4 linked regions of the Oreochromis niloticus genome follow. The main gene of each other region encodes a partner of the protein of the gene in region 4 in a complex. Links are inferred from orthologs where the notes say so. Each region holds a gene or a part of one and is shown on either strand. Other genes may lie near its edges. The genes, in order: mediator of RNA polymerase II transcription subunit 13-like, med25, med24 and med23.

Evidence for each region.
Region 1: med23 (region 4) and mediator of RNA polymerase II transcription subunit 13-like share a complex: the UniProt entries of both Homo sapiens proteins name them as parts of the mediator complex. The link is inferred for Oreochromis niloticus from reciprocal best matches to the Homo sapiens genes MED23 and MED13L.
Region 2: med23 (region 4) and med25 share a complex: the UniProt entries of both Homo sapiens proteins name them as parts of the mediator complex. The link is inferred for Oreochromis niloticus from reciprocal best matches to the Homo sapiens genes MED23 and MED25.
Region 3: the proteins of med23 (region 4) and med24 are in contact, whole or in part, in a cryo-EM structure (PDB 7EMF), measured with the Homo sapiens proteins. The link is inferred for Oreochromis niloticus from reciprocal best matches to the Homo sapiens genes MED23 and MED24. Residues at the interface, in NP_004821.2 of Homo sapiens: Asn150, Thr151, Val152, Ser153, Ser154, Glu193, Gly194, Leu196, Pro197, Trp199, Leu201, Gly202, Asn203, Ser206, Asp207, Asp210, Arg213, Tyr258, Asp259, Lys260, Phe263, Ser1133, Arg1139, Ser1176, Glu1180, Glu1182, Trp1183, Val1184, Tyr1186, Arg1189; in NP_055630.2 of Homo sapiens: Lys238, Thr239, Leu280, Leu283, Lys287, Val291, Glu295, Cys336, Glu339, Phe340, Lys343, Leu344, Thr345, Pro346, Leu347, Asp349, Lys350, Gln353, Lys384, Glu720, Lys721, Trp723, Thr756, Arg757, Lys758, Glu759, His760, Met802, Asp803, Pro804.

What each region holds. Positions count from the first base shown.
Region 1 is NC_031972.2:20,820,851-20,828,102, reverse strand, and holds the start of mediator of RNA polymerase II transcription subunit 13-like, read right to left. Parts: upstream 3,002-7,252; 5' UTR 1,425-3,001; coding exon 1,353-1,424; intron 1-1,352. UniProt on the Homo sapiens protein: Component of the Mediator complex, a coactivator involved in the regulated transcription of nearly all RNA polymerase II-dependent genes.
Region 2 is NC_031969.2:29,553,641-29,560,997, reverse strand, and holds the start of med25 (mediator of RNA polymerase II transcription subunit 25), read right to left. Parts: upstream 3,018-7,357; 5' UTR 2,860-3,017; intron 2,412-2,859; exon of another isoform or gene 2,274-2,411; intron 689-2,273; 5' UTR 685-688; coding exon 539-684; intron 458-538; coding exon 412-457; intron 173-411; coding exon 48-172; intron 1-47. UniProt on the Homo sapiens protein: Component of the Mediator complex, a coactivator involved in the regulated transcription of nearly all RNA polymerase II-dependent genes.
Region 3 is NC_031973.2:19,694,398-19,701,350, reverse strand, and holds the start of med24 (mediator of RNA polymerase II transcription subunit 24), read right to left. Parts: upstream 3,017-6,953; 5' UTR 2,886-3,016; intron 2,656-2,885; 5' UTR 2,655-2,655; coding exon 2,525-2,654; intron 2,447-2,524; coding exon 2,364-2,446; intron 2,247-2,363; coding exon 2,208-2,246; intron 2,119-2,207; coding exon 2,045-2,118; intron 1,792-2,044; coding exon 1,568-1,791; intron 1,213-1,567; coding exon 1,101-1,212; intron 988-1,100; coding exon 837-987; intron 659-836; coding exon 545-658; intron 273-544; coding exon 219-272; intron 98-218; coding exon 15-97; intron 1-14. UniProt on the Homo sapiens protein: Component of the Mediator complex, a coactivator involved in the regulated transcription of nearly all RNA polymerase II-dependent genes.
Region 4 is NC_031980.2:6,316,222-6,324,074, forward strand, and holds the start of med23 (mediator of RNA polymerase II transcription subunit 23), read left to right. Parts: upstream 1-4,833; 5' UTR 4,834-4,985; coding exon 4,986-5,036; intron 5,037-5,275; coding exon 5,276-5,307; intron 5,308-7,377; coding exon 7,378-7,465; intron 7,466-7,553; coding exon 7,554-7,678; intron 7,679-7,849; coding exon 7,850-7,853. Other genes in the region: il20ra (interleukin-20 receptor subunit alpha), read right to left, coding at 80-910, 1,195-1,331, 1,620-1,764, 2,145-2,320, 2,401-2,609, 2,861-2,987, 3,677-3,725. UniProt on the Homo sapiens protein: Required for transcriptional activation subsequent to the assembly of the pre-initiation complex. Component of the Mediator complex, a coactivator involved in the regulated transcription of nearly all RNA polymerase II-dependent genes.

The sequences.
Region 1 (7,252 bases), on a different chromosome or scaffold from region 4:
GACAGAGAGGCAATCGATGTTTTCTTTTCTGTCAGGCTGAGAAAATTTAAGACTTCTAGCGTAATGCCCGTGTTTCTGTGCGACTGCAATCCAAACAAGCGTCTCAAATAGCTCGAGATTCCCCCGTTTGTTCCAGTTACAGACACCAATATTACTCAAGTACACAAGAAAGAAGAAGTGATGATTCATTTTGACTTTCTGTGCTAACTACAAAGTCTATTCTTCCCCTATCTCCTGTTTTGTGTCGTGGTTTTTAAATCATGACCATACTTTGTGACATGTGCCTCTATAACTTCTGTATGTAGTGTAACAGGGGCCCAACTGCTGTTGCAGGTCGACAACCTGCATGATCACCTAAAGCCCCCCAGGACCCATATGTTGTTGTGGTTCTCAGCGGCAGCCTGCGCCTGAGCTCAGTCTACTGCATGCCTTTCCACTTGGCTGCCTGTTGTAGTAAGACAGTTAACTCGCTGATTGCAGGATGAAAAACTGTGAAAGCACCGCCGCTCAGTTCCCTTCCACCCTCTGCAAAAATGCTGCTGCCTGGAGAGTCAAAAACACCTTGTTTTCAGTGCGAAAGTGCTGCTTCCGTTGTGTGCCTAATACATGATGCTGCCTGTCAAGATCTCTCTTGCTTTTTTAAAAAAAAAAAAAATCTCCTGTGAGACAATTATTCCACTAATTCTCATTCTCAGATCTTCTTCTATTTCCAAGTTATGAGCTAGGTAGCATTTTTTTCTAGCAGCGCCATGCATAAAACTATTATTTTCTGAAAATCAGAGTTTTGGGGGGTTTTTTTATTTGTTTTTGTTTTTTTTCTTTAGTCTCTGGCTGTAGAGATATCTGACAGTGGCAGCAGCAGGGCTCCTTTCCAAGTTAGTTGCTTGGCAATGCATTAGAGTTCCTGCAAGATTTCCAGTGAAATGATTATTTAAAGGGGGTGGAGGATAATGGCCACTGTGCTCTTCATAGGGAGAAAAGAAATGACTGTTTATCTATTGTTTACTTGCCAGATTCATGCAAACACACAAATAATTGGCCAGTCAGTTGTGGTAGCATTTGAACCCTGCATTTTAAAGCGTCACGAGATTTGGTTTGGTTTGAAAATGTGATAGCAAAGTTGATTTATTCTCGTTAAACCCTCCTTTTATGATATCAGGCATATAGTGATGAAATATGCTGTTTATTCCGAATCACTAACCCGTGTTAATGATTGCCTAATAACAACATCACCGATTGGTTCACCTTTGTACAGCAGGCACACATTAAAGCATGCCTCCCCACTGTCTTATGACTTGTCCATCACAACCGCCTCGCGTGTCTGTGACGAACGTGATTTATTAATACCGTACCAGAGAGAAGATGTTGGAGTGGCAGTCCTCAAGGCTTGCCCCGTTAGCCACCCAATTCGCCGATGTAGTCATAATGGTCCGCCTTTGGGGTCGTCAGCGCAGGGCATGTCGAAATCCTACATCGGTTATCAAACACCGAGCAGGGGCTGACAAATCGGTTCCCTCACGAGTCTGCCCCCAAAAAATAAAAAAATAAAAAATAATAATATATATATAAAAAAAAAAATTAAATAAAAAAAACAAAACAAGCAGGCTTATAACCTCACAAGAGGTCCGGATAATAGGCTCGGAGTGGTCTGATGGGCGTATTCAAAAAGAAGTGCAGAATGCATTAAAAAAATAAAAATAAAATAAAAAAAATGCCTGTGTTGTAGTGTTGATATATCCAAGCGTGAGCGGGGGATCACAACATTGTTACAATCCAGGTCGGGCGATTCCAAATCTGATCACTGTCAACAGCCGGAGAGCGCACAAATGTATCCATTTCAATCCCGAGGAAGATCCGCCTGTTTCCAAATCAGTCTCTCCGCGGATAGTTTCATCATTAAATGACCGTAATCCATTTGTAGGGGGGGGGGACGACGACTCCCTTTTCTTCCTCGCTCTGGGAACAGCCTACCTCCTCTCCTCTCCTCCTCCTAAAACAAACAAAAAAAATTAAAGAGTCAAAACTTCTTGAAATATAATCGCTGCAGTGCGAAACAATCAAGTTGAGGAGCACGCAGGATATCTGATTCCGTTTCCACAAGCTGATGCACCACTTGTGATAGTTTTCGAGAATCGCGTGTGCTATTTATAGCCGTCTTTCTTGTCACAACCGTTCCTCTCACAATAATGTAACCCCAGTGTGCGTGTCTCTCACAAACACACACACACACAAACGGGTGGTGCGGGCAGGAATGTTTAATCCCTCTGTTGCTCTTGAATTAAACGGGAGCGCAGACGGAGAGGTCTCTAAAAAAGAAAAAGCTTCCCCCTCCACACACACACAAACACACACCAACCAACCAACCAAGTGCACCTCCGCGGCAGGACGGACAAAGTCGAGCGGGTTCCTCAGTTAGCCTGAATCATGAGTCAAAGCGTTGAGACAAGAAAAAAACTATTCTTACAGGGCTCACTCCACCAGCAGGAAAACGACAAACAGGCGTCTGTGCAGACGGAGGTTTGAAAAAATCCTTCCTTCCTTTCAGCTTTATATCATTACGAAACGTCCTCTCGCGACCACAACAGCCTCAGTCTTGCACACCAGAAAAAAAAAATACATATATCAGGTAGGATTTCTTTAAAAACGCACAGTTCAAGCAGAAGTGGCCGTCCTTGTCTGGCGCCCGTTGCTGACATAAAGAATATGTTGCATGCTGCAGATATAAATATATTTGAAATGTCTCATAAAGCACCACCTCGGCATTTAAAAGCGCATCCTCCTGTTTCTCTTTCGCTATTGAATTAAATCCTCAAAGGCGTGTTTGGTTTCCTCGGCGGCGACTCCTTCCTCATTGTTTATCTCTCAGATGGCGTTATTATGCAGCTATGGAAGTGTATGCGTGCGCGCAGCCCGAATGTGTCACTCTCACCCTCCGTGTCTGTTTGTTTTACGCCGAGCGCTGTGGCGTTTCTTCGCGCACGATCGTCCAGCCCACCGCGCATTGTAATGTAATGGCGGTCGGAAGCGTACTACCCGAGACTCGCCTTTTCCATTTGGCCAAGTTTGTACTCACGTGATCAAAGTCCAGGATTACAGTAGTTGAGTGTATTTGATATTAGAGGCGGACGCGACAGTCGCCGAGATTCCTTTATTGTTGCCATGTGCGCTTTGTTTCTGTGATCTTTTGTTCTGCCTGAAACGCGCAGTGAAGGGTTATTATTTTATTTATTATATTTTTTTATTTTTTATCACTGCACGGTGTCATTCTGTGATGCATTGGTTACATAATGTATCTGTGCTCTCACAACAGAGGATGTGACAGAATAGAGGTCAGAATGACTTACTGAGCACACTGTGTTTCATAAGAGATATCTATGTAGGTTAGTCTTACACTCAGCATGTGCATCACATATTATCTGAAAACATTTCTGAGGCTTTTCTCACGCGAAAAAATAAAAATACTCAATATGACTCAAACCAAAGATTGGGAGTTATTTAGAGTGGTTGTATTCAGGGCCGCAGCTAAGATTTAAAAGATACACCGGTTATCATGAGTCAAGTCCACCATGAACCCCACCCTAGCCCCACCATGAACCCCACCCTAGCCCCAAGCCCCAACTATTGTTTTAGTGTACGGTGTCAATAAAGTTAAATATTTATTTTTAAAAACATTTAAAAATGCTGAAATGCATTTTGAATATATTTTTAATGCTAAAATATAATTGTTGCTGTCATCAATGAATTTTCAAATGTACAGTTTTACAAAAAAAGAAAACAGTCAAGCACATTTTTTTTTAAATTAAGATACCGAATTCCAGTTAGTTATTAAGTTATTCACCTGGTGATGAAACTATGCTGAAGGGTGTTTCTTTCGTCTCTTTGCATTTTACATTTTTATCTATCGGGTGTTATTAATGATTGATCAACAAATAGCTAATATTGGGAGATAATAGTAGCCTGCTGATACGGCCCCATTCAGGCTTTGGTAACTGGGCAATAGTTTGCTAAAGCTTTTACTATACATTAAAACAGCATTAAAAGTGAAAGTACCTCTGTAATTTGCTTACAGCTTTACATATTCCAAAACATAAAGGCCACACATTTGATAAATGCAGGTTTGAATAGAGATTTGTTGGTTTCCTCTCAAGATCAACTGTTGTATATACACTTAGCAAATGCTGTCACTGAACACTGTTTTCTTTGTAATATGTGTTGTTATTGTTTTAGCATGAAAATGATCAAATAAACAATGTGAAAAGCGAGAAAATTAAGAACTAGGAAATATCTTTTAACGTGTAGCTTGTTGTTAAGTTTTAATTTCAAATTTAAAAACAGTAAGTCCGGTAAGTTTCCAGGGAGAATACCAGAGACATGACATTGCCTGGAAATATTCCAATTTTGCTTGATTTAATCTATACAGTGGAAGCGCATTATAATAATATGTACTGATTATTATTCTGTCAATGCAGTGTACACAAGTTATATTTATATTACAAGTGTACTGTTAGAGATTTTGTAAACTCCATCCATAAACATGCGGTTCGGGTCCTGTGTCAAGCAGTCTCCATTGAGGCTTAAGAACAAAGCATTATTATGCAGACACTCTTTCCTTGTACTGCAGAGGCCATTCAGAAGTCAGCACATAAAATATTTGTGTTACTGTTAGTGACTCATATGCTGTACATACATTATATTTGTCTGGGTTTTCTTTATGGTTGGATATCAAAGTTAACTGGCTTCGGTCTTTAAGCTTGCTCAGCGTTTACTTAGATATGCTAACCTGATGCTCTTTTTATCTGAAAAGAGAATGTCTTTTCTGACTACACTGAAGTAACTGGGCTGCTCTTGCTCAAAACAGAAGAATATGCAGACCTTTGCATGTGGATCCCCCTAGAGGCCTTAAGATTCAATAGTTACTTTATTTAGCCCAAAAGCTTTTCATCTCTCCGCCCTCAGAAAAATGAAATATGTCATTGAACACTGACCTGATCTGACTTTTTCATTTGGAGTCATATAATGATTTTTAAGTGCTTACACACCGCAAAACCACCTGCCCGTGTATTATTTTCCCTCTGTTGAACTGAGATGTTATCTTTAGAGAAAAAGCAGCTGAGAAGGGCAACCAGTGTCTCACAGCCTTTGTATGAATCATTAGATGCATTCAAAAAGTGACATATATGAATAATATATATAAAAAGAAATTAGTAATATGAAGACAGTATTTGTAATAATACTAACAATAACTGACTGATGTAGTGTTTTGATTAATGTAATCATGTGAGCCATGACTGTCAGGTGGACACGTGATGCAAACTTGGGTTGCAGCTTTGGGAAATATGCAGCCATCTGAACCTTATTTGAAGTGTGTAAACAGTTGCTCAGTGGCACTTCCAGGCTAATCAGAAGATCCTTTCCACACAAGAGACGTTACCTCTAATTCCAGATCTAACAGAGCTATTTATGGATGTCTGTATATTCCCTTTGTTGCCTTATGTTTCCAGTGAAGATCGCAATATGCTGACTTATCTAGTCCATCCTGACATTGGTTCAGTTCTCACATTAATCACTACGTACAGCTTTATGTATTTGAGAAAACAGCCAGTAGCTGGTACATATTGCCACAGAGCAGAAGCCTTTAGTCTGGTGATTCCTCTTATATCTGCGCAAAAAAAAAGAAAAGAAAAAAAGCAGGGAGGGGGCAAGATATGAATCAGATGGATGAGCGAGAGGAGCTTAGCCTGGTGGTTATTGATCCCTTTGCTCCAGGAATGATCCAGAACTCATTTGGACACTTTTCCCCCCCTCTTTTGTTCAATACACCCTTAAAGGCTTTGAAGACAGTTTGGCCCACTTGGTGTGAAGCTGATAGGATGAGATGCTATCAGTTTGAATAAATCTATTTCAATATGCCACACATTTCCCCTTTGTCAGGCCCCTGCTGACCGAGGAGAAAGGAAGCATTACTGCTGTGATTAAAGATAATATGTTTGTCCGGACAATCTGTTTAGTTGTGCCGTGCATCCGCGTGCGCTTTATTCAGGAAGTGTGTCTCCTGACATGTAAAAGGACGCTTTATATCAGGCAGGACATCAAGTTTTATTAAAGCTCCTAAAAAATGTGGTTGCAATTCGTAAATATTTATCAGTGATATGAAATATTTATGATGAGATATAACAGCCAAAGTTTAAGTTGGAAAACATCCTTATTAGTAAGATTTTTTTTTCTGTTACTAATACGCTTGAAAAGGTTTGCACCACATGAACAATGTCAAACAAAGACATTTCCTGTAACTGTGAAACTGCTGTGGAGCAAATAAAAGTTGTTCACAGAAATCAGCCCTGTCCCCTGTGATACCAAAACAGCTCTGACTCATGTGGGCACAGACACAGGACCTCCCATGGGAATGTGGGCAGCAGAGCCTTTGGATTCGTTGGGTGGTGAGATATCTGTGCATCGCGTTTGTTCTGGCAAATCTCATGGTCACTTGATCTGATCGGGATCTTTGGAGTCCAAATCAGTACTTTGTGCTTTTTGCTGTGTTCCTGGAGGCAGTGCTGAGCAGTGTTTATACGGCGTGCTGGGTCACCCTGCTCCGTTGCCGAGGCAGCTGACACTTGGAGAAGGGGCTGCCTTTGCCAGGGTGGGTTAGGTACATGTCAAAAAATAACATCCACATCCACTGTGTTATTTTAGAGTCAAGTTTATAATCAAGAGTAGCACACATTTAGGCTATTTATCTAATATGAGGGCCAAAAAATGGTCACATAAGGGTGTGAATAATAAAAAAACACAAATAATTGTCATCTTGTTAGGCCGCCTCCATAAAACTATTTTCTTCTGCTCATCCAATTTAAGGTTATAGTGGTGGTGGACACCCCAGCTGTCATAGCGCGAGAGGCACGGTACACCCTGGGCAGGACACCAGTCTGTTGCTGGGCTAATAGAGCAATCCGTGCTTTCTCCACACAAATTTCCCAGCCAGCCAGCCGGTATATTAAAACCCACAACCTTCTTGCTGTGAGGCGACAGTGCTAATCACTGCACCACCGTGCCATGTTTGACCACCCACAGGAAATTTATTTTAAGGTTGTGATGCAGCTTGCACATGTAGTTGATTGCTTTTGATAAGGCAGAACTAGAGACATTCCTAGCCATGGATTTACACATTATGAAGACGTTACTTTAATGTGATTGCGAAAATCAGTTTTCAGGGACAAACACTGCTGTGTTTTCCAAATGTTTCACACAAAGG
Region 2 (7,357 bases), on a different chromosome or scaffold from region 4:
AGAACAAAGGGGCAGTTTAAAAGGTGTAATAGGGAAATAATTTTTACTGGATGTTGTCGATCCAGGAGACAAATTCGAAGGCTGAGCTGGTTGGCGCGTGACACTGGACATATGACTCCGGAGCACAGTCCACTGTGTTGAAGACCACAAGGCCATACTGTGTGCCCCCGTACTAGAAAACATAAAATAGTAATAATAAATCATCCACAGAATTCAAAAAAGATATCTGAATTTCAGCAAACAGTGACAGGGAATGCAAGCTAAAGCATTAAAAACAGAGATTAGACTGTCTACAGTGTACCTTGCCTCTTGCCCTATGTCAGCTGGGAAAGGTTTTAGCCCCCCCCAACCCAACCTTAAGTTGGATAAGCAGTTAAAAAGCTAGAAAACAGGAATTAGAGTAACACTCACATCTCCACCAAAATCTGTTTCTGCTGGAGGCCCTCCATTAAAATACCTGTGGTGAATGAAATAAAATTAATTCATAGCTACATGACATTAATGATTTAGGAAACAATGGGTAGCTTTAGATACTTACTCAATAGCTGGAAGTATGTAATTTTTTCTTAAAGATTCAAAGTATGGTCCAAGGTTCGCTGTCCCTTCAATGACAAACACCACATCAGCCACCTGGTTGGGCCCAGGTTTACTGGATGGCTCCATGAGTGCCGAACCTGCCACCATAGATCTAGATACAGAGGAGAAAGTTATCATAGTTTAAAAAAAAAAAAAAAAACTACAATAACAACCAAAATTAGGTGTGAAAAACATTTCTTGGTTAAAAGACATAAAATAAATTTAGTCTGACTCATTTCTTCAACACCAGCATTAGCAGGATTTGGTACATGTAACTCTAAGCCTCTCACCTACCTTTCTATTTTAATGCATTTCTGATACTCTTGAATCTTGATTCAACAAATATAATTCATAATATAATTGACATTGAAAATGACAAAACAATTCTAAAAATCACTTTTGTTAAAACTTGGATGAAAGGCCCTTGTGGTATTTATGGCATCTATTATGATCCGTATGTATACTCTGGAGCACAGTGAGAAGACAGACACATTGGGCTACAATTCAAACCCCTATTCAAAAGTCAGGACAACAGCGTCAACAAAGTTGTGCTTGTTTATTTTCCTTTCAAACTAAACAAAAGCAAAAACATGTAAATTCACTTCACATTTCATATATATTCATTTAGAAAACATTACATTTTAATTTTTTTAATATTGTCCGAACTACTATCTTTAGTGTCTTGATGCATGCTCAATCATCCAGGTAAGTAAATCCCCCAAAATTGATTCTGTTCATCTGGACATATATCTGAAAACGCAAGACCCCAGGTGCAGGCTGTGTAAAGATGCCCCAGAGACAATCCAGCACATAACAGCAGGGTGCAAGATGCTAGCAGGCAAGGCATACATGGAGCGCCATAACCAAGTGGCCGGCATAGTGTACAGGAACATCTGTGCCGAGTATAACCTGGAAGTCCCGAGGTCAAAATGGGAGATGCCCCCAAGGGTGGTGGAGAATGACCGAGCTAAGATCCTGTGGGACTTCCAGATGCAGACGGACAAAATGGTGGTGGCTAACCAACCGGACATAGTGGTGGTAGACAAACAGAAGAAGACGGCTGTAGTGATCGATGTAGCGGTTCCGAATGACAGCAATATCAGGAAGAAGGAACACGAGAAGCTGGAGAAATACCAAGGGCTCAGAGAAGAGCTCAAGAGGATGTGGAGGGTGAAGGTGACGGTGGTCCCCGTGGTAATCGGAGCACTAGGTGCGGTGACTCCCAAGCTAGGCGAGTGGCTCCAGCAGATCCCGGGAACAACATCGGAGATCTCTGTCCAGAAGAGCGCAGTCCTGGGAACAGCTAAGATACTGCGCAGGACCCTCAAGCTCCCAGGCCTCTGGTAGAGGACCCGAGCTTGAAGGATAAACCGCCCGCAGGGGCGTGCTGGGTGTTTTTTTTTTTTTTTTTTATATATATATGCATGCTTCCAGCTATTGAGTAAGTATCTGAAGCTACCCATGGATTAAACAGTACAGTACTGACCCCACAAACCAATAGTCACCAGTGGTGTTAGTTTTAGTCATTATGCAAATGCACTGTTTATAACCTGCAGTCAACTGAGATTGAAGAACTCACTTGGTTGAGTGACGAAACGTTTCTCCAACTGAAAACGCAAAGTCCATATGAACAGCTTCAACTTTTTGGGATACCATCTTTAGCGTTACCTTGTTTAATTTCCTGTTTGATCTCTTACCTTAATTCGAGCTCGATTATCTATGTTATTTGCTTTTTTGCGTTTCTGTTTTGTCAGATACACAAGTAAATCACTCTGAGCTGAAACACTCCAATGTAAGATAGTGATTTCACGGACATCCAGCAGCTACAGTACGATGGAAGCATGTGACTTCACCTCTGTGAAGGTGTAACAGTTTTCTATTCTTTCTCAAAGAAAAACAAAAACAGCACTTGTGTTTTTCAATGTAGCACACTTGCGAGAAATATATTTTCTTTTTTTCCTTTCTTTTTTTTTTTTTTAAACCGGTGATAAAATACCAGATGTTTGCTGCGATAGCTGTGCGCTCCAGTTTTAAAGGTAGGACCTAAAACCTAGCTGGTACTCAAATCGCTAATCATTAATCCATAATTAATATTGCTAATCGACATTATCGCCAAGGGGAGGTAAAACGCAAGCTAACGAAGTCAACAACAGCTGAAGTGCGCACAGCTTTCGTTTTAGCGTTAGCTAGCACAGCAAACGTCAGTGAGCGATTTAAGCTAATATAGTTCAAATAGCCCCAATTAACAAGCCTTTATCAAGCTGTTAAGTGATGTAGACTGACCTGATGGACTGTGGCTGTCCGACGAACCGCTGAACCGGTTGGACCAAACTATAACTTTAAAAATTAACTTGAACTACACAGCACAGTTAGCCTGAGCATTTGTTGTATTTTTGACGGAAGTGACGAAACGACACGCCCACGAGAGGCCAAGAATCTAAAAAAACCCAAAAAACTTTATTAATAACAACAAAGCGGAACATGGCATACATCAGGTTGTCAAGAACACCGAAAGGAGTACAAGGAAAATAAACGAAAACGATACAACTTGGGAATTACCATAAACACAAAATACCAGGGTTTTCAAGCCGTTCTAACACACAAAATTATAGAAGTATATTAAAGTCTTTAAGACGATGACACGGTTTTAAGGTATTTTCAATTCTCGCTGTCCATTACTGAGAAAATGTAATGCTTTATTATCAAAAGTAATCCAGTGAAATTTGGCTTACGACTGGAGAACTTGGATGAGTGAATACACTGTCAATATCACTGTAACCAAGCAAAACGTTCTTCCAGGATAATGAAAAATTAGGGTTACCATGATCAGAAACAAAACGTGAAAGTATGCTCCAGAGATGTTTCGTAAACCAGCAATACCAGAATAAATGAACCACTGTTTCAATATCGGTTTCACAAAAAGTAACAATTCACATTAATACCCCTTACAAAGAATAAAACCAACGCCTGATAGTAATGAAAACTAAACTAAATCTAAACATTTTCAGACATTAAAAAACTAAACCAAAGTATTGCCAGTTCACTAAACTGAGCTTAAAACTCAAAATAAAAATGAAATAAAAATGAAATCTAATTAGAAAATGCAAAACTAATAGCTTTGGTCCTCATCAGTCAAAGATGTTTTTGTCTGGTCCCAAATAGCAGATATGTACCTAAACAAGTGCTTTTGCAAACGTATACCATGCAATAGAAAATACAGCTACAGCCACGACAACAAATACAATCCAAGCATTTCAGATATTCATTTATTGAACAGCAGATTAAATTCAGTGGCACATGTAAATACGGGTCTTTGCAAGCTTAAAGAAGTCCAGTTACCTTGTTTCTTCTATAACTGATAAGAAGAGAATTTATTTGTTGTCTTCTTAGGCTTACTGAAGGCCAAGACCCTGATTATATCCAATTCATTTTGAGTTTATTTTATTTAAATAGCACCAATTCAACAACAGTCAGCTCAAGGTGCGTTCTATTGCAAGGTGAACACAATATTAGACAGAGAGAATCCCAACATTCAGATGATCCCCTATGACCAAGAACGTGGTGACAGTGGGGAAGGGGAGCGTGGAGAGATGAGGATAAAAAACAAAAAGGGACAGAAGACAAAGTTTTGGTAACATGGAGTTGTGACATATAAACAGAAATTCCCCAGCAGTCTGAGCCTATAGCAGCATGAATAAAGGATGGTTAGAGGTCACCTGATCTAGTATGCAGAGTAATATGCACTGGATGATGAATTATATATAAAATGAAAAGAAGTAGGAAACACAGAGACTAAACCGTAAAGTGTTGAGGAGGCAACATGCATGTAAATAATGTCACAATAACATTTAAGAGCATGATCTGTCCAGGTGTTTTCCTAAATGCTAAATTCATCTAGTTCTATTTTGAATAAAAACAACAACAACATCAAAACAATAACAAAAGAAACAAAACAAAAAACAGTCAAGCCATTAATTCTTCATTCACAGTGTTGGTATTTTCTCGCTTCCAAAGGTATGACTAAGTGTTTGGGTCACTTCCAGCCCACGCTTAACTTGGTGGAACCCACTTCATGACTTTTTAGACCATGTCTGGCCCATAAACATTTGCCATTGCCATAACTGATGTGTAAGTGCCCAGAGCAGGCCCAGACGTCTCTGCTATCTGGCTACTTGTAAGCAATTACTGAAAATGAAATGCCCTCAATATATATTGCTCCACATAATGAAGCATGGAGGTGCAGGGTCATCAGTGAATATTGTCTTGGCTCAGACTTCTAAACCTCATCTTTGCTTTTCAGTGCTTTGCCAGTAGCCTGAGTGATGAGGAAGGGCTCCAGTTATCTTTCCTTAAATCTATCTAATGACCAACCTGAGGCAGCCAGAGGGCTTTCCTCAAGGGTAAAACTGAAATCTACACTTTAAAAATCTAGACTTTAAAAATCCAGACAGTTGACTATTACAGACAACAATGGCAGGTGCATTCAGATGAAATCCCTCGAAGTGCAAAGGACAGGAATCACATGTTAATTTGCTTAATACAAACTTGTGCTCAGTACTGAAAAGACAGAAATTGAAATCTTTGAGTGTTGCCACAGCAAAAAACAAAAAAACAAAAAACAGACTATCTTCTCTTTTGTGTTTCGAACAGGGTTCTGAGGACGAACGCTGGAGATATCCAAGTGCTTTTGATCCAGACCTCCAGCAGATGTCAGCAAATATCTAGCGATGATGAACTGATGATGGTCTTATCAGAGAGCAGGCTACAGATTTTAACCTAAAGTTCCTTTAATTTAGTGTCAGACTGTTTATCTATAGTAGCTATGTGTCTAGAGTAAGTTACATATAGGAAAAGCTACCAAGACAAAATCCATGGTACTGAGAAAAACATCTTCACCACAAAGCATGACCTGTGATTTTTAGGCTTGACATGCTTAACCTAGTTGTTGCTTTTTTCTGGATTTCATGGTTTCATAACTTCATTGTTCTATAAAAAGGCTTTCTCATTCCCCTTGCAACCTCAGTGCTGGAAACAAGAATATAATTACCACAGCAGCTATCGGCACATTAACTGCTGTCAGATCAGCACAATACACCAGAGGCTAACCTGTAGTTGTAACACATCGGCATGCTGCTTCTGTGGGTCCAACAATAGCATCCCCTTCCCTGTGGTAATGCCAGCCAGTCAGTCAGCTTAGCACAGCATTCAGCAAAGCGCTTCAGAGCTAATCAAGCTCAAACCCTCCCACAGAAACAATGCTCCACATCAATTTAACCTAAATTCTAAGGAGGGCAACAAGCTGTGGGCTCAAGCAGCTTTTCCATTTGGGCGTCAGTAAGCAAGAACGCTTCAGGCGACCTAAAGAAAGTTCATCTGAGGGAGGGTTTATGCCCAAGGCTACCCCCTGGATGCAAACATTAGCTCCCCCACAGAGCTTTTTTATTTTGAATGAGCATCATGGCCAAATTAAACTGACAGAATGGATGGTGAATGTTCGTGTGTGTGTGTGTGTGTGTGTGTGAATGTGCCTGCGTAGGCATCCCTTTACTTTGCAACTCTGATGCTTTCTGCCGCTTAGAGGAATATACAGTGTGTCTCGCTGCTTTGAACTTCAACTCACACAATGCCAGCAGTTGCCAAGCAATTACAGAAGGCCTGCTTTCTGTGTATGCCTTTGGAAGACCAGACAGTGTTTTCTTTTTTTTTTCCTCTTATGTTCCTTGTTTGGTCAGAGAATTACATAATACAATATGAATCAGAAATATAGTTGGTGCCGTAGCTATCTATGTCTGCAAGGTCCAGGTGGTGTGGTAAAGACAATCCATCTCCTGACATTGGTACCCAGCTGGGATGCTGAGGGCCAGATGGTCGCCTCACAACAGGTAATCACAGCCAGCATGCTGATACAGTGGCATCCACACAAATAGGTTACCAGACAAATAGGTTACCAGAGGCGTTTCCAGGAATGTGAAAGAAAAGCAGCCAACAGGAAATCGTAATATTTGATCAGAAATAAATCCAATGTAGAAAAATTTGTGTTGAAAACCTTGGGTGTGATTTGTAGGCTTGTGTGCAACCTGAAACAATGTAATACATAAAAAATTGTGCTGCACAAGAGCCTGAAAATTGTTCAGCATTGGATAACTATTTTGCAAAGTGGTGAAGTAGCAATGTCAAAATCTGACTTAGTATTAGTATGAAAAGTTTTAGCAATAAATAAGATACCTGAAGTAAAGGGAAGGGGCCTTTCCAGAAGCACAGGCATTATATTGTTAGATCACAATTATTCATTAATGTGTAAATCACTTTAAACTATAAAAAAGATATTAAAAAAACAAAAAATAAAACAAAAACATATAAAAAAGGCAAAATTTAAATTTATGTTTTAAAATCATATCTAAAAGCTTTAAAATAAATGACATGGAGAACAAAGTACAATATTTGGATCCAACATATAGTGAGTTGGAAGCAGAAAGTGGAGTAACATAGATATATTTAAATGAATGCATTAAAATTGTATTTGTGTCATTAGTTCAAAGATAATTAATTCAGTTATATTATGGTTAGACAGCTCCGTCCCATGACCTCCTCTGGACACACCCCTGCACAGAGTATTAGATCTGATAGTATTTTTTAAAAATCTTCATAGAAAATTACCTTTTTCTGTGAAATCATGGACCAGCAATGAAAAGTAATAAAATAAAGTTTAATTATGGATTTTACCTCAGTTTCTAATCTTGTACAGAACTTCCTGAGCATTCATCATTTAAAGCCATGCATG
Region 3 (6,953 bases), on a different chromosome or scaffold from region 4:
TTACGAGCACTTACTTGCATCGCTGATCTGCTTTGTCCAGGAGTGGCGTAAGCTTAAGTAAATACTGAAATGCTATGTTCACATCCTCCATGAAATCCTGGGAAATGCAACGTTTGCACATTTGAAAGTGACAAAGACAGTTTATGACATTACACACGCAGCGCTCAATATCTGGGTGTTAACTTACAATACAAAGATCAGTCAGGCATTTACTTTACCTGTCCTTTGTCACTCTGAGGATATTTCTTTAGTCGGAGTAGAACTTGCGGGATCTGAGATGAAGAAATCACAAGTTAATTTCATCTGATTTCTGTGGAGTGTAGACAGTAATATTACTACCAAATTAGTTTCATGCAGACAGCTCAGAGGGGAGATTTATAAAATCACTGCACAAAATTTGGCACACTATTCCTTCTCTAAACTAAAAATCCACAACAAACAGAGTCAAGGAAGCAGTTAATGATATAAACAGCAAGTAAAGGCAGCAAAAGGCAGAGAAAAAGACAACAGAGGACCAAGTTTTCTTCTTTGAAGTAGAGCTTACCTTAAGGAACGTAAAGGCAGTCCATTTAAGCTCTTCTGTGCCCTCTGGTGACTCAATGAGGCCAGTGAAGCAAGCTTTCCATATCTCCAGGACAAAAAGGGGAGCAGGAATTCGCTGATGGGAACAGAAACACTCCATTTACATCACACAAAACCTCACCAGGAAAGGCTGTGTAATATTTTGGCCAAAAGCTGAAATGTTTCTTTTCTGTGTGTAATGAAATTCCTTTGTCCTATAAAATCTGTCAGTCTAAATTTTTACTGTTTGATTTTTTTCACAGCTTAATGTTCACCTGCATTCGTTTGATCATCATTAACTGCTCCACCAGCGGCTGTATCTCTCCTGTCAAATTCATAGTCCCTTCCAGCATGATGAAGGCATGAACTGATGGAAAGGAGGCATGAACTGGAGGGTCACTCTGCTCAGACAGCATCATGGGAATACTGAAGAAGAGAGTGGAGAAATCGGCACAAAGAAGTCAGATGGGAGGCTTGAAACTATTGTCAAATTAAAGCTTAGGAGGATCATTTGCTCTGTATTAATGTGTCAGCCTCACCTTTTTACTAGTGACAAGCTCTCCTCTAATTTAGTAAGCAGCGTTGAGTTACTCACACTACTAAGACCATCTATCAAATTAAGCACAGCTTGCTCTACATTGCTCCAGGAACCTGTTGGAGAAAAAGCAGCAGCAGAAACACTGTTTAGATGCCACGATCGGCACAAAAACACACTTTAAAGATTTGGCCAAAAATGACAGTTTTAGCTTAAGTGACATTTTTGTATCACTATGGCTGAATGGCAATAATTTCAACAATTGCCAGATCCCATGCATATGCAGGTGTTTGCCTTAGAATGACTTAATATTAAAAGGCAAATAAACTGCCAACAAACTTTGAGAGCATGTTAATAGAGCCTCAGGTAATTTACACACTATATAGACGTACTGATACATCAGCAGATCTCAGCCAGACTTCACTGAGCACAACCCTATGTGTAAACAAATACCCACACACACTTATATACCTTGGTCCTCCAATCGGGCAATGTGGACTAAAGCTCTGTTCTTGGTGCTGTTCATCAAACTCTGGAGCCTTTCCTGGCAGGCTCCAAGACTGGTCTCTGTGCTGGCTGATGGACCCAGTTCTCTGAGCTTCTCACAGTACCACGCACAGCCCTGCACCAGCCACACTACCACTGCCAGCAGAGCCCGACAAAGCCCGATGCATTCCTCTGCTTTTCCGTGACAGCTGGATCAATAAGAGACAAGAAGCAGTGACATTTTAAGCAAGATGCACACTCACTGGTCCCTTTATTAGGTACACCTTGCTAGTACAGGGCTGGATCTCATCCGCTTCATGGTTTGTTGTGTTGTTTGATGTGTTGTGCATTTAGAGATGCTCTTCTGCATACCTTGGTTCTAATAAAACATTTCTGCATCAATCAGAATTTTAAAAGACGTGAATTAGATTAATGCAGATACATTAGAAACACTTAACATACCTAAGGCGATGGCAGAACATGTCCATTATTTCTAACAGTGACTTGACGCAGAGCTCCCGGGAAAAATCATCAAACTGTCACAGAAAAGACAAGTATTAAGATCATTAACATTTTCTTACAGTAAAAATAATTTTGCATTGAGTATTGTCATGCAGAAAACTACCTTGCTGATAGCCATAAGCACACTGGAATAAGACACCATCTATGGCAAGAGAGGAGACAAATCGCAACATGCAAAACAACCAACAAGGTTAGAGAATCTTCTCAGTTTCACACGTTTTCATTTGCTTTTTTAAAATACAACAGTGCTTTATCTCACCTGTGAACTTATGGCATATTTGAGATAAGACAAGATGAGTGGGTTAGGGGATGGTCCAATCATCGCCTGCTCCATCAACGCCTCTGAATTATATACAAGGAACAGTTAGAGCAACTTTAGAAAACACAAGAACCGGTATACTTAAACAGACTACTACCAACCTGCAAGGTTGAGATAGTCCCATGTAGCTCCCTTTGGGAAGTTTTTCTTGATGTTGATGGCCCACTGGTAATCACTCCAACGATCTTTCCAAGCCTGCAGAATGGCTTGCTTCAAATTGACCATCTTCATCCTGGCGGAGGAAAAAACATCAATAAAAATGGCCACAATTCAGTCACTGTTCGTTTTTACGCTGTAACACTCAAGCTTATTTTACACTATTCCCTAGCTACGTTAGCTTATGCTATTTGCTAATGAAATAGTTAAAGAAAACTTCTCCTGTCTGATGCCGAAAACAAACAGTTTTCACAATAAATTAACACCAAAACGAGTCTACAAAAGGGTGCTAAATCTGATACCTACCTGACGCTTTGAGTTTTTAGAAGCTTACGCTAAAATACATTTGTTTATAGGACCCCAGCTTCACAACGCAAGAATCGACGTTTTTGTTTTGAAAGACGTACCCGTTCATTGGTTAACCTCCTGACGTTTCAGTATTCTTCGCGCGGATTGGTTGAAGGGGAATACCGGCAGAGCTCCGCTCGACTAGCAGCAGATGTCGCTGTTTACAAAGGTAAGAATCAAAGCTCGACCTTAGAATTTATACCTTTTCCATACATAAGGAAATGAAGGCAGCAAAACTGTTGTTGTGCCTTCCAGTTAAGGGTAAAACATGAAACCAAAGAACTGAATAATTTTCTAATATAAACAGCTATTTTAGCGTGACACCTGTGATGTCTTGTTAGCCGTTTGCAGTGTTGTTTTGTTTGTTAGTGAAAATGAAGGAAAGTATAGTTCTTGCAGAGGCATGACTTAGTATTTTTGTGTTATGCAACTTTTTGTTTCTACTCCTTTAAATTTTGGAGGCAAATACAGGACTCTATACACCACCTTATTTATCGGAGATTTTAGCTAGGTTTAGATTACTCAGCAGTATGAAGACCAATTAAAACTAGCTACAACTACCATATTAAACTTGTTTACACAATATTGAATTGGTGATATTCTGAAATGAATCCTTATGTAAGTGCTTTTACTTTAGGTATTTTTAGAAGTTTTAGTTTTTAGAACAAGTCTTTCTAATACACTTATCTATATATATATATATATATATATATATATATATATATATATATATATATGTATACAAACTAAACAGACGCTTAACTTAATAACAACTGGTGTCATTTGTTTCCACATTAACCTAATTTTTCTTGTACTGTTAGCTGTAAAGTGATGACATAAGTTATACCTGATATAACTAAGTTGAATTTATTTTCTTTGATTATTTCATCCATGCATACAGTGAAATGCATTGTTGTCTTACATAACCACCTCATTCAGCTGTGTGATTCACTACCTCGGTGTAGCTCTTTTGTGTGTGCCAGTCCAGTCCCTTTCAGCAGGATTTTGTTTATTATGTCAGAATGTTGAGGTGGAAAAAAAGCAAAACAGGACATGTGTCTTTACAACAGTTCACACTCTTATAAAACCTGAAAGAAACAGGGGTGAAATAAACTATGTGGAAATGTGGAAATGGCTCCTTTATTTAGATTTAAATAAATAAACAAATCTGTTTATTCACAAAGCACATGCTCAAGAAGAAAATATATTCAGAACAATGCTGAAAGTGGCACTGGTATTTAAAAAAATTCTACTCAGGCAGGAGTTTCTCTTTCTCCTTTTAACTTTTGAACTCAGTTGTGTTTCTTGCTAAAAGGGATACTGTTCTCTATATCAAAACCACCCAACTACTTCTGTTAGGGAATATCCTGTATTGAGTTTATGACTACAAAGACCCTCATTCTGCCTGACACTGGAGACGGTGTCCTGATAGAGCGAAGTCTGTGTCCTGGGACGGCCCTGTGCCAGCCAGCAAGAGATGATCCATGCGTCCTGGCGTTGTCTTGGTAGGTGAGGGTTGGAGAGATTATGAAGTTGAGGTGTGTGTGTGTGCAGCGGTGAATTTGGGCAGAGTGATCTTATCCCCTTTGCCTTCTACATAGTGGAGAGCTGCATTAGTGGAGGGTACTGAGAGATCTGAGTCTACCCCTGGGGAGACCGGAGAGACTGAAGTCACAGCTCTGTGTCTGTTCTCATGACTTCACTGCCGGGACAGACCCAGTTTTGCTGACTCTTATTTTTCTTCTATGTAAGCTATTGAGTAATCCCATTATAACGGGACTCACTAGTTTTTAGTTTGTGGTGCTCAAAGTCTCTCAGGATTACCTGGATGTAGATACTTTCACTATGAAAGAACCCTGTATTGACAACTTATCTAATTTTGAAAATGGCCCATAGTTTTTAGAAGTATTATTTTCAGATGCTTATTATTTCTTCAAACTAATTTTTTTTAATTCTCTCAACACCACCAATACCTTTCAGCTACATAATAATGAGATAAACACAAGCTACTATCTCCAAACACCAGCAATTAACAATGAAACTATGTGGATTATGTGTTGCGTTGTGTTTTGTGTAATCAATTTATTAAATCCATTAGGGCCAATTGCTTAATAACCCATAATCATCCACCTGTATGGGGTGCACAGAGAGGCAGGAGATAATGATCCCTATGAAAGAGCAGAACTAAATAAATGTGATATTTCATAGCATGTGTTTCTATTAGATCTTTATATCTGTTATACTTCTCTATTCTGTTTTTTTTTAAAAAACACAACATTACTGTCATTCATTCTCTCCTGGGGCCTCTGGGCACACCAAGATAATTACCAAGGGTTCAGAACCAGGAAATGAGAGTGGCCCTCTCCTGTCCCCTCAGGTTGTCCAGTGATGTTGCTTCATGAATCAGGATAGACTAGAGGCAACTACTGTAACCAAGAGAAGGTAAGGCACATAATGTGTCAGTACATTTAATGTTGCATACAGCTTCTTTCTCTCAGGTTTGAACTCAAAATGAAAGTCTTTCTGGAGGGTGATGTAGAAACAGCAACTTTAACATAGGTGAACAATAAAGTGAGAGACATGAACATCTGGTTAAAGCTGTTAAAGCCATGGCAACCGACTTTGGGAATAACGTGTATGGGGAGGCTTTCTAAATTTGCTGACCCACTCTTGTAATGCAAACAATGTACATAGGGAAAGCACAGTTGCAGTAAATAACACTATAACAAATTAATATGCACTAAACACTCACCTTCCACTTCATTAGTTACACCTTGTTAGTTGTGGGTTGAAACCACTTTGCCTCCAGAACTGCCTTAATTCTTCATGGCATAGATTTAACAAGGTGAACATTCCTCGGGGATTTTGGTCCATACTGACATGAGAGCTTCATGCTATGTTATACTGAGATCTGGTGACTGTGGAGTCCATTTGAGGACAGTGAACTCATTGTGATGCTCAAGAAAGCAGTTTGAGATTATCTGAGCTTTGTGACATGGTGTGTTATCCTGCTGGAAGCAAGCAGCCATCAGAAGATGGGTACACTGTGGTCATAAATGGACCAACATGGTCAGGAACAACACTCTGGTGGTGTCTTAAGTGACGCTTTGTTGGTAAAAGTAAAAGTATTCCCCACACCATTATATTACCTCCAGACTAAATCATTGACACAAGGCAGGAGGGATTCACGCTTTCATGCTGTTTATGTCAAATTCTGAGTCTAGAATTTGAATGTTGCTGCAGAAATGGAAACTCATTAGACTAGGCAATGTTTTTCCAATCATTGTCCAGTTTTTTTAGCCTCAGTTTCCTGTTTTTAGCTGACAGGAGTGCCTCTGTAGCCCATCTGCTTCAAGATTCAGGTTGCTGTACAAGAGGTGCTGTTCTGCAAACCTTGGATTTAACAAGTGATTGTTTGAGTTGCTATTGCCATCCAGTCTGCCCATCCTCTGATCTCTGACATAAATAAGACATTTTCAACCAGAGAAATTTTGCTCTCTTGATATTTTCTCTTTTCATTCCATTTTCTGTGAGCCCTACAGATGGTTGTGTGGGAAAATCCAAGCAAATGAGCAGTTTTTGAAACAAGCCCGTCTGGCACCAACAACCATGCCACCTCCAAAATCACTTTTCCTCTTCATTCTGATCCTGAGTTTAGACTTCATCAGGCTGCCTTGACCATGTCTAAAAGCCTAAATGTGTTGAGTGGTTTTAACCCATATTAGAATTGTCGTATTGGTGTGCATAGAGAAGTTGAGGAGAATAACTTTGCTAAAAGAAAACAATAAACTTCTCATTTGACATAATAGAGAATTTCAAAATTTTGCCATTTCTAGTGTTTGTATTACAGCATTTATAGAACAGACAAAGAGCACAAAATATCAGTAAAATATCCCACGCTTTAAGAAAAAAAAACAACTTGGAACTACAACATGCAACTGATGACTGTAGCACTAACAAGATACCTGTAGATAGCAAAAATGTTAAATTTCAATATTTTAAACAATAATTTTAGACTGTAGTTAG
Region 4 (7,853 bases):
GGGATCCCAACAAAGTCCCATTTGTTGAAAACCTTCGCCACCTCACTCCCTGTTTCCACCTGTCGTTTTCTAACTCTTTCTATTCCTCTTCGTCACTTGCTTGGCTGACAGAAACATTATCTAGCCTCAACCTAGCTCTCGCCACATACTCCTCTTCACTCAATCTTCTACCTCTCCCTGAAAGTAGAGGTACATCCAGTCCTCTTTCATGATTGACACTAAAGTCATCTAGCGTGATATCAGATTGGTCCGAGTGGGAGGCAGACATGTTTGGAATGTTCTGTGGGGCATAAGCAGACATTAAAGGCTCATTTTCACAGTTATTTCCTTCCTCCACACCTCTGTTTGCCACTCCCTCCCTATCTGTGCTCCAGATCACCTCTCCACACAGCTCTTCTCCCCTTTCTACTTCCTTGATTGTTTGCGGATTTAACCGAATGCTTAATAGTAAACTTCTTATCGCTCCATCCTCCTTTGATCTCTGAAAAGACTGTAAACCTGCAAACGACCGGCCCTGCAACTGCATGGGGGTTGGTCTGCATGTCCAAGTAGTGTTAGCCTGAGGCGCGTAAGCTCCACCAGAGTTAACGCTCTCAACTCTCCGGTCTCCATCATCTTGATTCCCTCCCCTTGCTTCCTCTTCTCCTTCAACAGTGATTTGAGGAGCCATGCTGATACCCCCGTAGTCAACAGACAAATCATCCAAGGGTTCCTCGGGCTCTAAGGGAGGCTCATGCCTTTGGGGGGAGTACCTGGGTGGGGGATCCACAACTTTTAGAGAGGCGAGGAGGTGTTTAGGGTCTAATATTGTGCAGTCTCCTGGTGGCTCAGGGCTGAGGCGGCTCACTAAGAGGAGGTTGGAATTCTCAGGAGGGAACACAAGAGGAAGCTTGTAAAAAGTAGATGCGTTCTGGAAATTGGAGGGGAAGGAAAAAGGTATGAAATGTTTGATAATCTGCCTTTGAAACACTGCTGAAACATATTATTTATGTGAATTTCAAACAATAGTCTCAGTTTGCAACTATAATTATGTCACTGGGTCCCTACAGTGAATTGTTAAATTCATATTTAACAAAAAAACAAAAAAAAACAAAACAAAAACACCACACCACCCACCCAATCTAACCTACATTAATTAAATTAAGTTCAGGTTAGGTATTGCATTGCCAGTATGTTTATATGCATTTCAATTACCAGTATATTTGGACTGCGCTGGTCTTTCCCAGACAGGTAGCGATGGAAAAGGTAGCCAGCTGCAATGATCATACCAATGCACAAAGCTGGAACAACAATACCCACAATCACACTTTGCAGCTGCTCAATCACAGGGTCTATAGAAGAAGAAGAAAAAAAAACAAAAAAAGAGGGTGAAGTCAGTAAAAATATTTATTCATCCAGCTTCTGATGACATTTTTGGGCTTGTCATTTGAAAAGAAAATAAATCTAAAATCTGAACCATTTCCTTGACCGACATATTTGGCTCACACAAGGAAGTACAATACACCTGCTGCACAAACACTAATTGCTCTTCAGCTTTGATAACACATTTATTGACATTCCTTTCTACATTACATCCGAATATTCTTATTTACAGACACGGTCACGCAATGGAGTTGTACCTTGAGATGTGGTTATGCAGAGCCATGCAGAGGACTGGCAGTGGATTGGCATCGTTGGGAATTTCGACTGTGCAGAAAAGCAGTATTCCATGTTGTACTTCATCAGCCGGTATTTGTACACGCTGCCAACAACTGGGAAATGGTGCTAAAAACCAACAAGTGGACAGATTAGGCAATGCTAGAGAGTGGGAAAGAATTTTGTAAAAAATTGCTGCAGAAAAACCAAAAAGTTTATGCTTTGTGGGTGTAGGTTAGTTTGTCGTCATAGCTAAGCAATTAAAAAAAAACTACCAAAAAAATGAAGGTGTAGTAGGTGACTCAGTGCTCTACAAGGAAGTTTTCAATGTAATGTCTAGCATGAATCTTTTTATTTGTGCCTGACAATCCTGTTTTTAAATGAAAGCAATTCAGGGCAGCAACGTCAGATAGAGATTATATCACCACGTCCTAGAATTTTAAAACTTTTCTTAGTATGGGCAGTCAATCTATAGTAGTCATATATATTTCTACTTGATTTATACCTACCGTGTGGTTCAGATGGGTGTTGTGAACAGAAAGGTTGTAAATCATTTCGGGGTAGAGTGTCGCCATGGAAAGCGCTGGGGTGTGGTTGTTTGATGGATACCTCATCGGTCCCTTTATAGTGATGATGGCACTGGTGTTTTCAATTTCCACAGAAAGCAGTGGGGGCCCCAAAGTAGCTACAAGGTTGGACAAACCTTTGTTGTTTAATGTGTAAACATGTTAAATATATTGTAATGCTTTTGTTTCTTTAACTTACTTTCTGTCTTTGGATTGAATCTTCTGGGTATGAAAGCCCATTTGGAAGACACTCCCCTCTCCACAGCACGAACTTTGGCATAGTAATCCTCATCCGCATCCCACATTTCACTGGTCAGATCACACCACGTCCGCACTATTTCTGTACAGTGCTGCACTGCCTTCCAGTTCACCCGTTTTCCCTTCTTACCTTGAATTCTGTCTCCATAGCTGGCAAAGACAAAGACCCACACACTCAGAGGTGAACTTTTGCACAGGTTGAGCAGAGTTTGCTTAAAGTCACAGTCAGTAAAGAAAATGAACTTAAACAAAGCAGACCGATTTTGAGATCTTGTTGCATTTTATTTCTTTTAGCCTTGCTGGAACTTTTTTTTTTTTGCCAATAAATCCCTTTGGGACTGCATCCAGGCTAGTTCTTGGGAACTATGAATTTTTATTTAAACTCTAAAACATTTACTCACATGGCATATTGCACTGTGTAGAGCGTTTCATCTGCATGATTGCCTTTTCCTGGAAACCACTGCAGCACGTTCCTCAGATTTACAGAAGAGAAGGTGACATTGATGGGGCTGGGGACAGGCTGGGAGACTGAGGGGAGCGAGACAAGAGGTGAGGTGCCTGTCATCAGAATATACACCAGCTTCTAGTTGTCCTGACTGACCTTTAAACTTCTCCTGTGTTTAATGGTACTATTAAACTAGTTGTCCACATATAACCGTAAGGTGTGAGCTGTCACTATGATTCACTGCCTTTCAGACTTTGTTCCACCTCACACAGTACACTCGGCTCCTTATAAATCATTTCAAGTAGGCAAACACCATAAAAGTGTTTGATCAAAGATTCTCTATGGGAAGATTATCCAGACTACATTTTCTGTTTGCAATTTGATCAAAGAATGCCTCTCATGCTTTGATCTCCCGGGTGAGAAACCCGAGTCTGTAAAGTGACTTTACACTTAAAGTAGAGCTCCATGCACTAATACATTTTGTGTGTTAACAAAACCACATGCGTTTATAGCTCGAACAGCCGCTTTCTGTACTTAAAGTGGACGAACTAAATTACAATGTGTTAATGCTTTTAGAAGTTCCCAGTTTCATTGCAGATTTCTTTAATGATCTCATCGTTGGCTACTGTTGTAGCATAAAAGTCAGTCCGCTTGAATTGAATAAACGCCATAAAACTAACCGCACAAAATGGAAACAGTGGAAACAAAGAAACACAGCATCCACAAAGTAACAACAAAGAAAACAGATATTAGCACTTAAATGCAGACCTACCTGTGGAGTGAAAGCTATAAAAAATGAAAAATGTGAATATAGCCAACATCTTTGTATGGAGTCGTCATGTTTTCACAAAAACAAAAAAGCAAATACTTCCAGTCCTCTCGGCAGGTTCCCCCCAGCTCCTCCTCATAGTACACCTGCTCGCAGTTCTCTCGATTAAAGGAAATTAAAACCACGCACTCAAGGTTAAAGTGAAAGAATGTAGCTAAAGTCGGAAGAGTTACATGAAACTGCCACCCAATGAAACCCCGTGGACTGCAGTTAAAGGAATCCCTGCGACCTGACAGGTTTCCGTGTTTCTTATGGGAGAAGGAATGTGACCTTACTCGTTTGTGAACAGTTCACCTGTCAGCCGCGCGCGCGGGCGTGGGCGTGTCCGCGTCCATTGAGGTAATAGGCTACAAAAATCTAAGCTTAAGTATAAGTACTTAGTAAACAATCAGATCCACTCCAATATGTGAGAAGAAAAATACATTATACGTGACTCATTTCCAAATAAATCCGTGAGCTGTGTTTAGTTTTGCTGTGGTGTGGCGTGTGGAGGCTGTTAAGTGGAAACAGGTACAGTTTCCTTAAGATGCTCCTGGGGTGTTTATCCGGATAGCAGCCTGGGTAATAAGGTGCACCATGTTATTTCCTTAGTCCCTTTCCCCCCAGCTAATATCCTCTCTCTCTCTAAATACACTGTCAAATGAGATTAGATATTAAAAATTAATATTGACCCTACTGAGTTAAACCTGGGTAACCCATTTGCAAAGAGAAAGCTGTTTTGTTTAAAGCGTAAACATTTACTCTTACTCTTCTTCATCACACCACAATTATTCCACCACGAACCTCACGAAAGCTATAAACAAAACATGGAAAAATCAATTAGCAAATATCGAGAAGAACAGCAGGTGCTCAAACATCGTCCATTGTGACATCTGGTGGCCACAGATCTGTCTTAGTGAAGGGACAGACTTTTGAATACAGATTTTAAACTCTCAAAAATGCGAGCGTTGTGAGAAATATTTGAAAAAAATAATATTATTAATGTGTAACTTTATTATTTGCAAATTACTGAGGTATGAGAATTACAATTTATAATAATAATTAAGCAAAGAAACAATGGAGCGGAACTGTTCCGCTTGTGTTTCCGTTGCATGCCCGGATTGTTTTTGCCATCGCGCTTCTCCTGCGGCGGCTTTCATTCTGCTTCCTTTTAGCATTTAGCTTGTTGGGGTTATCGACTGTGCTCCCGTAGAGGAGTGACGGGTTTGAATTCTGGGATGGTTCGTTGAATAATTGTCTTTTGGTTGCAAACATGGCGCTTTCGATGGAAACGCAGCTTCAGAGCATCTTTGAAGATGTTGTGGTAACTTGCATCTTTGTTGACTGAGTGGCAGCCAAGCTAACATTAGTTAGCATTTCAGATAACTGTAGTAGTATTTTCTATTTACTGAACTTACTTTGGTTTGCAAATATAACCAGATGGTGTTTTTACTATATGTCTCCAGCTCGCTAACATAAGAATTAACAGCTAAGGGTGCACCGTTAATATCACAAGTCTTCACTTACGTTAATGCGTTTTTATTTTCTCCTTTTTTTTCTTAGAAAACTGAGATGATAGAAGAGGCCTTTGCTGGGTAAGGCTGCTCTGAATTCATGTTAATAACCCCCGATATTTTGCAATTGCATTGTTATTAGCTTAGGTGTAATGTAGGGTGCCACAAACGATTATTTTGATAGTCGACTAGTCACCGATTATTTTTGCGATTAGTCGACTAATCAGATCATGCATCCATTGAACGTAAAACGTACAGTTTATTGCACTAGCACATGTCTGCTCTTATATAACTATCATTAGCTTACAGCTTGAAGTGTTTAAGGTGCTAACTAAAAATAAAGACAAGAGGATAGTTTATTAAATTTAAATGAAATTTGCAGATTGTTTCGGTGGAGTTTAATAAACGCAGCCGTCTGCTCCTTGCTATCTAAAATATAACAGGACACCGGAGTATATTCTCGAGCATCTCACACTTCTGATAATCAGTTGTCTGCTTGACGTTTATTCAGCTGTGTAAAAACTATAACTTTAATCTCAGCCAAACCGATTTACTCAGGAACAAATAAAATACTGAAAAAAGCCCAATAATATCATTTTTAAGTTATCTAAGTGACTTGTACATCATGTTTAACCTGAGTAGCGAAAGACGGCGGTGGGTTTGAAAACGATTTGCCGGGAGTCCGGTGTTCTCACCGGCTCTAGTGAGCCTTGAACCCCGGCTAGGTATCGAGCTAATGGGTAACAGACGTCTCCGAAAACGTCGGAGCGCTTTTGAAAATATGTGGTGTCTTGATAAACTGAGCAGATATTTGAAGTTTACACAGCTACATTCTCGCCTGAAAATATATTAAACGTTTATTTTGTGACCCAGAAAGAATAATAAGAGTAACATTAAAGCTAACTAGCTGCCGCCATTGTTGAAAACTGAGCAGGGCCGCGCTATGAATTCTGGGACACAGCTTCTTCTTCTTCGGGGTTTAACGGCAGCTGGCATCCTTGTACATGCAGTGCTGCCATCTTCTGTTTCAGTCCGTTATTACACTCTTAAATCCTACTACTTATTCCTGCGTCTTTTGGGATCTTACAAAGCTTCAAACGACGCGTTGACTATTAAATTAGTCGTCGACGATTTTGATAGTCGACATAATCGTGACTAGTCGACTAATCGTGGCAGCCCTAGTGTAATGTTAAGTTACTGCACACTGGTAGTGCTGCTGGATGTTATAGTTATAGTTATAGTTTTTACACAGCTGAATAAACGTCAAGCAGACAACTGATTATCAGAAGTGTTTTAGCAGTAAGACTCACAGGCCACTTTGTTAGGTGCTGGAAACATTTCTCAGAGATTTTGGTCCATATTGACATGACAGCATCACACAGTTGCGACACAGATTTGTCGGCTGCTCCATCCATGTCGTCAATCTCCTGTTTCACCACACCCCAAAGTTGTTCTGCTGGATTGACATCTGGTGACTGTGGAGATCATTTGAGTACGTTGAACTCATTGTCATGTTCAAGAAACTAGTTTGATGTAATTTGAATTTTAAGACATGCTGTGTTATCCTGCTTTGCCTCAGTTGCCTATTCTTAGCTTACATTGCCGGCATCCATTATGTTCCTCAGCCGCTGTAGTCCATCTGCCTCTGGGTTTAACATGTTGTGTTTAGAGAGGCTCTTCTGAATAGGGGGGTTGTGTTTATTGGAGTTGCTTTTTCGCTCCCATCACCTCGAAGCAATCTGGCCATTGTCCTATGACTTCAACAAGGCATTTTCCCCCTGAGAACTGCTGCTTGTTGCCTTTTTTTCTCTTTTCTGGACCATTCTCTGAAAACCTTAGAGATGTATATGTGGGGAAAGTCCCAGCAGATCATCAGTTTCTGAAATAATCAGATCAACCTGTTTAGCACCAACAACCATGCCATGTTCAAAGTCACTTAAATCACCTTTCTTCCCCATTCTGATGCTCAGCTTGAACTTAACTAGGTCTTCTTGACCATGTCCACATGCCTAAAGGCAGTTAGGTGATGTCGTGTGATCGATTGATTAGATAACTGTATTGAAAAGATGTGGCTAACAAGAGTGGCCGATGTGTGTATATTAAAATGTACGGAGCAAAATTAAATGCTAAAATTAAGAAGTGTGTTTTTAGGATGTTTATGGACACTCCAGAGGATGAGAGGACTAAGCTGATCAGTTGTCTTGGAGCCTTCAGACAGTACTGGGGAACCCTGCCACAGGTTTTTACACACACACACACACATGCACTCCCACTTGCTCACACTTACATGGCTGAGATTTTTCAGTTGCTCCAACGTCTTTCTGCAGGAGTCTCATGAACAGTGTGTGCAATGGATTGTGCGCTTTATACACAGTCAGCACAGCCCCAAGAGGATCTCCTTCCTCTACGACTGTCTGGCAATGGCTGTGGAGACCAGTCTATTACCACCCAGGTACACAGAGACATATAGTGTGAGATTATTTGACACCTAAAGAAGTAAAATGGGTTCAAAGAATGATTTATAATATTTCCATATATTAATTTATTATATTTAATTTATCTGTTTTATGACATCCCAATATAATCTGTTATTTGTCTATCTCATTAATCTTCGTGTCTTTAGGATG